Daphnia pulex: one gene and its partners. The protein of the gene in region 3 binds, or shares a complex with, the protein of the main gene of each other region. Links are inferred from orthologs where the notes say so. Each region holds a gene or a part of one and is shown on either strand. Other genes may lie near its edges. The genes, in order: eukaryotic translation initiation factor 3 subunit M-like, eukaryotic translation initiation factor 3 subunit K-like and eukaryotic translation initiation factor 3 subunit I-like.

The links.
Region 1: eukaryotic translation initiation factor 3 subunit I-like (region 3) and eukaryotic translation initiation factor 3 subunit M-like share a complex: the UniProt entries of both Caenorhabditis elegans proteins name them as parts of the eukaryotic translation initiation factor 3 (eIF-3) complex. The link is inferred for Daphnia pulex from reciprocal best matches to the Caenorhabditis elegans genes eif-3.I and cif-1.
Region 2: eukaryotic translation initiation factor 3 subunit I-like (region 3) and eukaryotic translation initiation factor 3 subunit K-like share a complex: the UniProt entries of both Caenorhabditis elegans proteins name them as parts of the eukaryotic translation initiation factor 3 (eIF-3) complex. The link is inferred for Daphnia pulex from reciprocal best matches to the Caenorhabditis elegans genes eif-3.I and eif-3.K.

The regions. Positions count from the first base shown.
Region 1 is NC_060019.1:9,159,556-9,162,925, forward strand, and holds eukaryotic translation initiation factor 3 subunit M-like, read right to left. Parts: upstream 2,458-3,370; 5' UTR 2,319-2,457; coding exon 2,277-2,318; intron 2,041-2,276; coding exon 1,933-2,040; intron 1,874-1,932; coding exon 1,719-1,873; intron 1,657-1,718; coding exon 1,438-1,656; intron 1,377-1,437; coding exon 1,219-1,376; intron 1,164-1,218; coding exon 1,056-1,163; intron 997-1,055; coding exon 644-996; 3' UTR 542-643; downstream 1-541. Other genes in the region: DPH3 homolog, read right to left, coding at 39-113, 182-289; cysteine--tRNA ligase, cytoplasmic-like, read left to right, coding at 3,030-3,370. UniProt on the Caenorhabditis elegans protein: Component of the eukaryotic translation initiation factor 3 (eIF-3) complex, which is involved in protein synthesis of a specialized repertoire of mRNAs and, together with other initiation factors, stimulates binding of mRNA and methionyl-tRNAi to the 40S ribosome.
Region 2 is NC_060028.1:2,216,569-2,219,622, reverse strand, and holds eukaryotic translation initiation factor 3 subunit K-like, read left to right. Parts: upstream 1-1,434; 5' UTR 1,435-1,543; coding exon 1,544-1,596; intron 1,597-1,686; coding exon 1,687-1,906; intron 1,907-1,967; coding exon 1,968-2,187; intron 2,188-2,263; coding exon 2,264-2,421; 3' UTR 2,422-2,543; downstream 2,544-3,054. Other genes in the region: uncharacterized protein LOC124209413, read left to right, coding at 1-786; acylphosphatase-2-like, read right to left, coding at 2,766-2,880. UniProt on the Caenorhabditis elegans protein: Component of the eukaryotic translation initiation factor 3 (eIF-3) complex, which is involved in protein synthesis of a specialized repertoire of mRNAs and, together with other initiation factors, stimulates binding of mRNA and methionyl-tRNAi to the 40S ribosome.
Region 3 is NC_060019.1:6,193,194-6,196,243, forward strand, and holds eukaryotic translation initiation factor 3 subunit I-like, read right to left. Parts: upstream 2,131-3,050; 5' UTR 1,984-2,130; coding exon 1,981-1,983; intron 1,915-1,980; coding exon 1,668-1,914; intron 1,602-1,667; coding exon 1,319-1,601; intron 1,253-1,318; coding exon 1,051-1,252; intron 986-1,050; coding exon 737-985; 3' UTR 599-736; downstream 1-598. Other genes in the region: regulator of telomere elongation helicase 1 homolog, read left to right, coding at 2,406-2,507, 2,574-2,864, 2,949-3,050. UniProt on the Caenorhabditis elegans protein: Component of the eukaryotic translation initiation factor 3 (eIF-3) complex, which is involved in protein synthesis of a specialized repertoire of mRNAs and, together with other initiation factors, stimulates binding of mRNA and methionyl-tRNAi to the 40S ribosome.

The DNA of each region.
Region 1 (3,370 bases), about 3.0 Mb from region 3:
CAGTTGCTTCCAGAACTTCCACTTGCTCATATACATACCTTGTTGTATATTACTTTTACTATAAGTGAACAACTCGGACATGTGGCTTCCTCTTCCCCATTTTCTAGCTGTTCCTGTTGAAATAAAAGTAAACCTTTTAATAAGCTTGGAATCTGAGTAAGGAATGGGGACGTCACATTACTTTGGTGATTTCAAACCGATCTCCACAAGGGCAAGGATAGAAGTAAATTTCACTGTCCGAATCATATTCAAAATCTTCGATTTCAACTTCATCGTGATAGACAGACATTTTCACCAAAAATTCTGAGTAATAAATAAAAGATTTTTCTCAACTACTGAAACAAAAATGTGTGGATCTTCAAAAGACAACACGTGAGAAAAAGAGACATCTGCCGGCCAAAAATCAGACTACCTGAATTAACTCACGTTTACACGTTGCATATAATAAGCATAATAAAAAAAGAATTTTTTTTTTATCTCCTACCCTACTTTCAAACAACAGTATGTTGGAAACAAAACAGAAATAATGATCAAAGTCTGATTTTGTCAGATAATGTGCCGGCGTCATCGTTTATTTCCACAAAACCTTAATAGAGATGGATAGCGGGATAATTTGAAGTCTTTTGTTTCTTCTCTAATCGGTTCAGGATTGCTGAGCGAGAAGTTCGGCTTGCTCGTTAACGATGGTTAGCATGGAATCTTTGACCTGTCTGAGGTGGCCTCGCCAAGTAGTCAGCAACTCACGCAACTGCTGCCAGTGCTGCTTGCCGAATGTCCGATGCATGGTTGATGAAACAAGCACTTTCTTGTTCAACTGATCCATTCGTGCGCGCACCAATTTCGTCTTAAGGACTTGAAGGACAAATTCCTCTACTTGATCTTCGGTTAGTTGTAATTGCTTCTCGAGCGTTTCGAAAGGGAGCTCTACGGAATTTTCAGCCAACTGCATGAAAGTCAAAATTCGCATTTTTCGAAGGTTCTGCTCATGTTTCAGACCTAAAAATCATTGTTACTTAAAATTCTTAAAAAAATACTTAAAAATTTCCAGTAAATACCTAGTCCTTCAACAAAATCTTTCTTTTCCTCATAAAACTTCAAATAAGCTGACAGCTTTTCCGTCACGAATACGGTCAACAGATCGTGCAAAAGGGCACCTTCCAAAACTGTACACAAAAATTAATTAATAACTGATTTAACTTCAAAGTAATTTTTATAAACCTTTCACAGGTTGCAAAGTCAATAAATGATCGAGAAGGAAAGTGTTGGGATCAGCCAATGAAGCAACAATGCAGCGTTGAGCTTCCTCACGAGCCTGTGAAGCATTTTCGGTCGTGTAAGTGCTCAACAACTCCACCATCACTTTGGAGGCCAGTTCACTGAATAATAACACTGGTTTGATTTATTGTTACAATTATTTGTTTAACTTCAATACTTTACCTTTCTCTGGAGTTGAGGAGAGCTTCATGTAAACTTCGGAGGAGTTTTTGCATCTGCTCGTTGTTAGGTTTGCATGGCCCTAGTTGAGTACGCATTTTATCTAGATCCGTGAACACTGTCTTCATCTGTTCCACTTGTCCAGCAACTTGGACTAGCGTGTGATAGACCGTGTAACGCGTTGTACTCACAGGATCAAGCCCATGAAATAGTACAGACAGACTAAAGAATCAAAATTATAGTTAGACAATTCATTATGTAAACTTCAAATTTCAAATGCTCACACTCTCAGACAAACAAGTCCCAACTTGTTTGAGGGGGGTTTTGCAAGCTTTTGGCAAAACGTAGTAATTATTGGTTCAGCTTTTTCATTGGGGAGAAGAACGAGCATAGATACAATGCTATTCAAGACTCCCTCAGATTCCACTTCATTGCCCTCCTTCAAAGAAGAAAATAGTGTAAACACACACTACTAATTGAAATAAAATTGTCACTTACTTTGAAACAGAGATCTGCAACAGCAACAATGTTGCTAAGATCTGAGTTTTGATCATCATCCACATTTGATGCTCCAAGAGCCTTGAAATAGCTACACAATTCAGTAGCCTAAAAAGACAGATATGAATACAATGACCAATTCAAAGCCTTGATGTCTTAAATTTTGTCTCAGTACTATATAACAGTTATTTGCTTTCTCCAGGTGGTAAAACAGGTATAAAAATTAGAAATACTAGTAGGGAAAATTGTCTATAACACAGAAAGGTGTACGCTACTGGCAGACTCCACACTTCATCGCCACAACAGTTTAGCATCTACCGGACTAAATTTATGGGGAAACTAACCTGTTCTTCGACCGTTAAATCGATAAATGCTGGTAAACTCATCCTGATAAATTGTTCAAAACAAACTGGAAAAAAAGATTCCTTTATTAGAAGTTGCTTGTCAAAAAAATCCGGATATAGGCCACGCTCACGATCCCGGTACAGAAGTTCGTCTGTAATGGCGACATTGCCACCGTGTTCCCCTACAGATAAATCAACGATTTTTTTTTTTTTTTAATTCTTTGTTTCAACACTTTCACGCTTTCCAAAATTTTCTAAAACCAGTTCTTGATTTTTTAAAATTATTATTAAAAAAATTACTACCTTTTAAAATTGCAGCATAAAAGATCACCACATTTGTTATCGCTGTTATCGGCTCACTCGCAATTTCTATCTAACTTGACGTGTTGCGGTGTTGGAAGAAACAAACCGAATACACCGTCAAAGGTACGCACCGGTTTCGGATTCATTTGATCGTTATCATTCGAACCAGCATTTATTTTTCAAATTTATTAATTGTTAACTTCCTTATAACGTTAAAGTTAACTGGTGACATTCACAAATCTGTTAACGTGCAAATCGCAAAAATATATAATAGTTGGAGTGGTTGGCAATTTAGGTAGAAGATAGAAGTAAGTAAGACATTTTAACTATTGCATCAGACATTTCAAAATATTAATGACTAGATTTTACTTACAGAGTGAGAAGTTTCGAAGGGATAAATAATAATTTTTGGAACACATTGAGAAATTGGTTGTACCTTGTTCACCTATTATGTCTGAAGCCCCCTTAAACAACAGCAGCATGGAGCTGAAGATTTACAATAGTCTGACTCGTAAGAAGGAGGTGTTTACTCCTCAGAATGGGAAAAATATCACCTGGTATTCTTGCGGACCAACAGTCTATGATGCATCCCACATGGGACATGCCCGTTCATACATGTCTTTTGATATCCTGAGAAGGGTCTTAAGAGACTACTTTGGATATGACATTACTTATGTAATGAATATCACTGATATTGACGACAAAATTATTAAAAGAGCAAGGCAAAATTATTTATATGAAAAGTATGCAACTGAGATGAGTGAACTTGAAACTCTTCAAACAGATGTCAA
Region 2 (3,054 bases), on a different chromosome or scaffold from region 3:
GCTGGTAGTCTTGAAAAATCGGTGCTCCTCTGTCCTTACATTACAAAAGTGGACATGACATTGATGTGTGATGGAATCGTAAAAGACGCGGATCTCGTTAGTTTACTTTCCCTTAAAAGCCTCTACATCCTTGAAATCGATCAAAGAAAGCCTTTAAACTTTAATGAAGTTACTTTTAGATATTCTGGAGGTATCACTTTTGAAGGAGGAGTTCTTCCCCTTCTCAAAAAATTTGGGAATTCCTTGACAAAATTAGAACTTGACGTTTTCTTCCTTGACTTAGACATTTTAACCATAATGCAATTTTGCCACAAGCTTCAATACCTTTGCCTTCATATGCGCAGCAAATTTGATCGTTGGCCTAAAGAAGAAGAACAAAAATCGGGAAATAAAAGGGAAATTCCTATCTTAAAACATCTGGAAGAATTGATGTTATGTTCTGATGATTCGCTTCATTCCTTTGTCCCCGCAGAAATTGTGTTAATCTTATTGTCTTCTCCGTTACTATCATTCATTTCCATAAAACTTTTGAATAACCTAACTGACAAAATCATACGAAAAGCAACGCATGTCAATTCCTTTCGTCATCTTGAGAGATTGTGGTTAACTCACTGTAACGAAGTAACTAAATACGGTGTGAACCTTTTTTTACAACAGAATATCCCTCTAAAGAAACTGATTTTGGAACGTTGCGATAAGATAACGTTTGAAGATTCCATCGAATGGGAAGAAACTTTGACCAAGAACAATTGGGAACTTGAATTAGAAATACGTCACCCTTACTAATTATTAGTTAAAAAAATAAAAAGGTACAATGTAATACATTTTTTATGATAAAACCACTCAATTACCGCCGGTAATTAGCCTAATATCGGTAATTTACCGGTACTGTTTTTTTTTAATTATTCTTGAGTAACAACACGAGGAAATCTCATATGTTCTCTCTCGGTATCTTATAAAGGTGGCATTTTGATGTTTGCTCGGAATTCCTCGGGGAAATAGGGTTCATAGAGCATGTTTGAGCAACCATTATTAAAATTAGTTACTGATGGCAGCAAGTAACAGTTATTAGTTTTTATTTTTTGTCGTCTTTTTTAATCATTTGAATTTTGACCATCGCCTAATCTGCTAAGTGCTAAGTGTACCGTGAAAATATCTTCTGTCAAAGATTTTTCAAAGATTTAAATGTCAGCTACATCTTCAACTTTTAAAATTGGCGGAAATTCGAATCACTTTCATTGGTTGAAAGAAGCTCCACAGCTCCACCCGCTCCACCTACCAAGGAGCGGAGTTATTTTCCGACTGAGGGGTTTATGAGGGTTTTCGCCCTAAATTATAGCTCAAAAAAAAATCGTTCTATTTGTTTCATTCTCGACTTTTATCGCAGAGTGAAAATGGAAAGTTTCCACTCCTTCACTTAGCTGATAATGCTTTAAATGGCAACAGAGCCTCTTAGGCCGAAAGCGTCTGCTAAAGCCACATTTCCGTCATCCGTCAAAGTCTAGTTACTGATTGTTAACAATTTCAATAACAGTTCATTATAATGGCCGAAAAGATGAAAACAGAAATCGCTTCTATGCTACAAGGAATTGAAAGGTAAGAGAAAATAATCTGAAAAAGTTAACCCCATCTGCATAGTTGAGGAACACTGTAATGAACAATGGCGGTTTGTTCTCTTATTTCTAGGTACAATCCCGACAATCTTCAGAAGCTAGAACGCTATGTTGAACTGCAAGCACAAGAAAATATGTATGACCTAGAGGCCAACCTAAGTGTGTTGCGATTGTACCAATTTGGCCCAAATTTCTACCGCAGTAACATTGTTAATCTGATCCTACTGAAGGCAATGACCAATTTACCTCACACAGACTTCTTGCTGTGCAAATGCCTTTTGACTCAAGATAGGGTATGTAATATGATTGTTTAATCTAATATATTTAATAGGAATTAATTTTTTTACTTTTCAGTTGGAAGAACCTCAAGTGAGCAGAGTAATGGTCCTAGCTGATTTGCTGGAAACGTGCAAATTCAAGCAGTTTTGGGAGGAATTGGCCAAATGTGGTGACCTAATTATTACTGTTCAAGGATTTGAAGATGCTATTAGGAAGTTTGTTGCTCATGTTGTCAACATTACCTATCAAACTATTGAAGTTCCGGTATTAAAAGAACTTCTTGGCAATGTCAACGGTAATGGCAATATTATCCATGTATTCCCTCTTAACATGGTTTTCGACATTTTAATTTTAAAAACCTCTCTTTTCAGATCAAGTTTTGAAACAATGGGTCGGGAAGTGCAGCTGGAAGGACCTGGGCAACGGCCGTGTGTTCATCACGTCGCAAGAAGATTTGGTCAAGACCAAAAACATCACTGAGAAGATCGAATTTGAAAACGTGGCTGGAATCATGTCACACTGCATTTAAAAGTGAAACTGTCTTTGACCGATCTGCAAACAGGAAGAAAGAAAAACCAACAAACAAACAATTCCAAGGGCAGTGTATTTCTGTTTTGTAACAGCTTCATATACACAATTGTCATGTTTGAATTTGATGATCGTTAAACCACCCAAGCAGTGAATCCCATCGCCGTATTTACACCCGGAATCTGTTTTCCTCTCAAGCAGCATCTAATTAAAAGTTCTGAAATTCGATTCTGCTTTGGCCGATATGGTGTGGGCATGTGCCTCTACATTGACAAGTGAATTGGTGGATGTTTTAAATGATTAGCGGGACATTGAAAAAACAAAGAAAAACCATTTTCATTCGCTTCAAAAACGGATGCTGAATCCGCGGAACTCGGGCCGTGCAAGGTATTCCCAATTGCGAAGCTCGGTGTGGTCGATCTTGCATCCGGGGCTACCTGTCCTCGTCAGCCATTGTGCCCTGTGGAGGAAAAAGGTTTGGAACAACAATTTTAATTATTTCTAGTAGTAGAACTCGTTAAACACACAGACGAATCCGCTTTGGCACCGAGCGCATGACGGGTCAGGAAGATTCTAAAAGTAGCTTGTTTCTCCTCGCTCTACAGAGGACGAGCCCAGCATAGTTAAGGTATTT
Region 3 (3,050 bases):
ATCGCGTTCAGTTGCAATAAAGGAAGTAGTTTCAATAGCAATCATCCTCATTGAAACGTCGGAGTCGTCGATCAAGTTGAACATCGTATTTGTAAAGTTCGGATATCTGGCTAATACATCCGGTTGAAAATGAGCCAGCGAACCGATAAATTTCATAAGCCCGGGAACGAGCAGGCGAGGCAAGAGGATCTGCAGGAGCCTCGTCCAAATTACCGGCGAGCTTCTCAATGATTCCTTGTCGCTCGAGATAGTCCCGACCATGTTGGCAAGACGCTAGAGTCGTAATAAGTTCCAATGCGTTCAGCTGGGACAAGAATGTCTCCCATTAAAACTTCTACCAGAAGGAAACTGATGAGCTCTTTCTCTTCGCAAAATGCCAAGTTTTCTTGGGATGCGCAACAGTAGGTGATTAGAATATCGTAAACCCTGTAATGGACTTCGTCAGAAGAAAAAGATTTCAAAAGAATTGTTTGTAAACAATATCAGTTATGTTTTCTCCTCTTAAACAGGCGACTCGAACCTGTTTGTATACGCTTAATTTCGTCTCGTGCCCTCTCTTGAGAAATAAATTTTCCCCCCAAAAAAGATTCTCACTCGAGACCTTTCCAACATGATGTATTCAAATACCTTCTCTTATATCGCCCATGTACACGAAAGTGGTCAAAAAATAAACACAAGACAAGTGTTCATAGATGATGGATTGGGTTCTTCGTAGGTTTTTCGCTTTTCTTCTGGTTTAGTAATCGAATTTAAAGTCAAAGTAAGACTGGTCGAATTGATTCAAACGAACGTAACCATCTTCACCACCACTGGCGTACGTCTTTCCGTCGGGATGGAAGGCCAGAGAATTGATAGGACCGAAATGGCCCTTGACACGAGCGAATTCTTCTTCGAAAACCAGATGGAAGAAACGGGCGTCGAACTTGCCGACACGCGTTGAGGTCGTCGTTACGTCCATGGCATCTTGACCACCTCCCAACACCACCTGAAGATTGAAGGAAAACAGTTAGAATCGATCAACTGAATCATTTAGAAGCTCAAGGATCATACGTGATCCATGATGGGTGAGATGGCGGCACTGTTGACGGGTCGCTCAGTTTTGTAAGTTTTTAGGCACTCTAACGTTTCGGCGTTAAAGAGTTTTGCAGTGCAATCCTTGGATGCAGTGATGAGGAGAGCTCCGTCTTTGGACAGCTGCATGTCGTTGATAGACTTGGCGTGTTCTGAAACCAGGTTGTTCTTCTTGCCAGTTCTGTAGTATAAATAATAAACAGGATTTAGTTTTAAGCACTCAAGGTTACGACAATGTCATTCTCACCTGAGGTCCCATTGGGCCAAGTCACCATTGTCGTGACCAGAAATAACAACCTCATCTAGATTACCCCAAACCATTGATGTGGCTTTAGGGGCATTAGTTAATGGAATTCGCAGGATGGGGTCATTTTCACTGAAGGAAGAGTCAACCGTTCTGACATCAATGATGAAGATCTCTGAAGGGTTACCCATAGTACTGTCTGTTGAGTAAAGGGCCATGTTTCCACTGTAACTGAAGTTGCATGTACGAACTGAAGTCTTGGCTTCAATTTTACCCAAAGCCTTGCCTAAAAAAAAACAAAGAAAAGTTTAAGTCGTAATTACGCAATGGGGTCATTTCTCACTGAACATACCAGTTTGGACATCCCAGATCATGAGCATATTATCACCAGCACCAGACATGAAACGTTTAGTTTCCCAATCAACATCAATCGCCCATACGACACCCTGATGTCCCTCGTAGGTACCCAATCGTTCTCCATTGACTGAATACCAGACACAAGGGTGGTTGTCCTTGGCTGACGAGAAGAGCAAATCTCCATCCCGGTTGTACTTAATTTGCGTGATTGAACGCTCGTGACCGTGAAGCATAAGAGGTTTCTGTGATCAACAATAACAGTGGATTAATATAATGAAATTAAATAACAGAAATGCACTGAAAATTACCATTTTTGTTTATATTAATTGGTCACAACTGTAATAATGACGTACACTTCTTTCGGCGTGGGGCGACTGAGGCCTTTCGACGTTTTTACAACACTCGTCTGCCGGCCCTGCTCGATTTTACAGTGTTGCCACCCACCCACCAAAAAACGAACCATCTTTAATCTTATCAAAACTGTTAAACTTTATACAAAAAAAAAAAAAATTAATTTTTATTCTTTAATCACGCGTAACGTTAAAATGACACTAGCAAAAATAATTTTACTTTTCGATTTGTTTCAGAGGGCGCTACTCGCTAGGGAAGTTAAAGCAGTTTTAACATCGTCTGCTATTCTCATTCAACTATTTTGGCGGGTTCCCTCACATTGCGTGTTCCTTCACATTGCGTGTGTCTCGTGGAACACAATTACCAAAATTATTTATCTAGAATGGTGAATTTGGTTTTAAATAATGTTCCCATTGAATTTCCATTCCAGCCTTATGATGTACAAGAGAAATTCATGGAGCGTGTGATAGAATGTCTTCAAAAAGTAACTAGTGTTGCGTTATCGGTCAGTGGACACCTTGCTCTTATTTTGTTATTCTTGATTAAATAGGGTGTAAATGGTTTGTTGGAATCTCCTACTGGCACAGGAAAAACTTTGTGCTTACTTTGTTCGACATTGGGTTGGTTAGCAACACGAAAAGCACAAATACAGTCTGGTCAATTAGCTGGAGATATGGGAGTGGATATTAAAAATCAATTAAGTAATGCAACTGGGCTTGGATGGGGAGATGCTGCTACTCCTGGAGCTGGAGTACCCAAAATCATTTATGCATCCAGAACTCATTCTCAGCTCAGCCAGGTCATTTCTGAATTAAAACGGTCCTCTTACAGATATATGAAGGTGAGCATTTCCTTCTTCCATTAAAGCTATTTGCCTACATGAAATGGGTTTTGATAACCCTTATTTTATTTTTCTTCATTTAAGGTATGCATCCTTGGATCTCGTGACCAACTGTGCATTCATCCAGAAGTGTCAAAGGAAACAAACAATGCTGTAAAGCTTCACATGTGCCATGCTAGAACTACT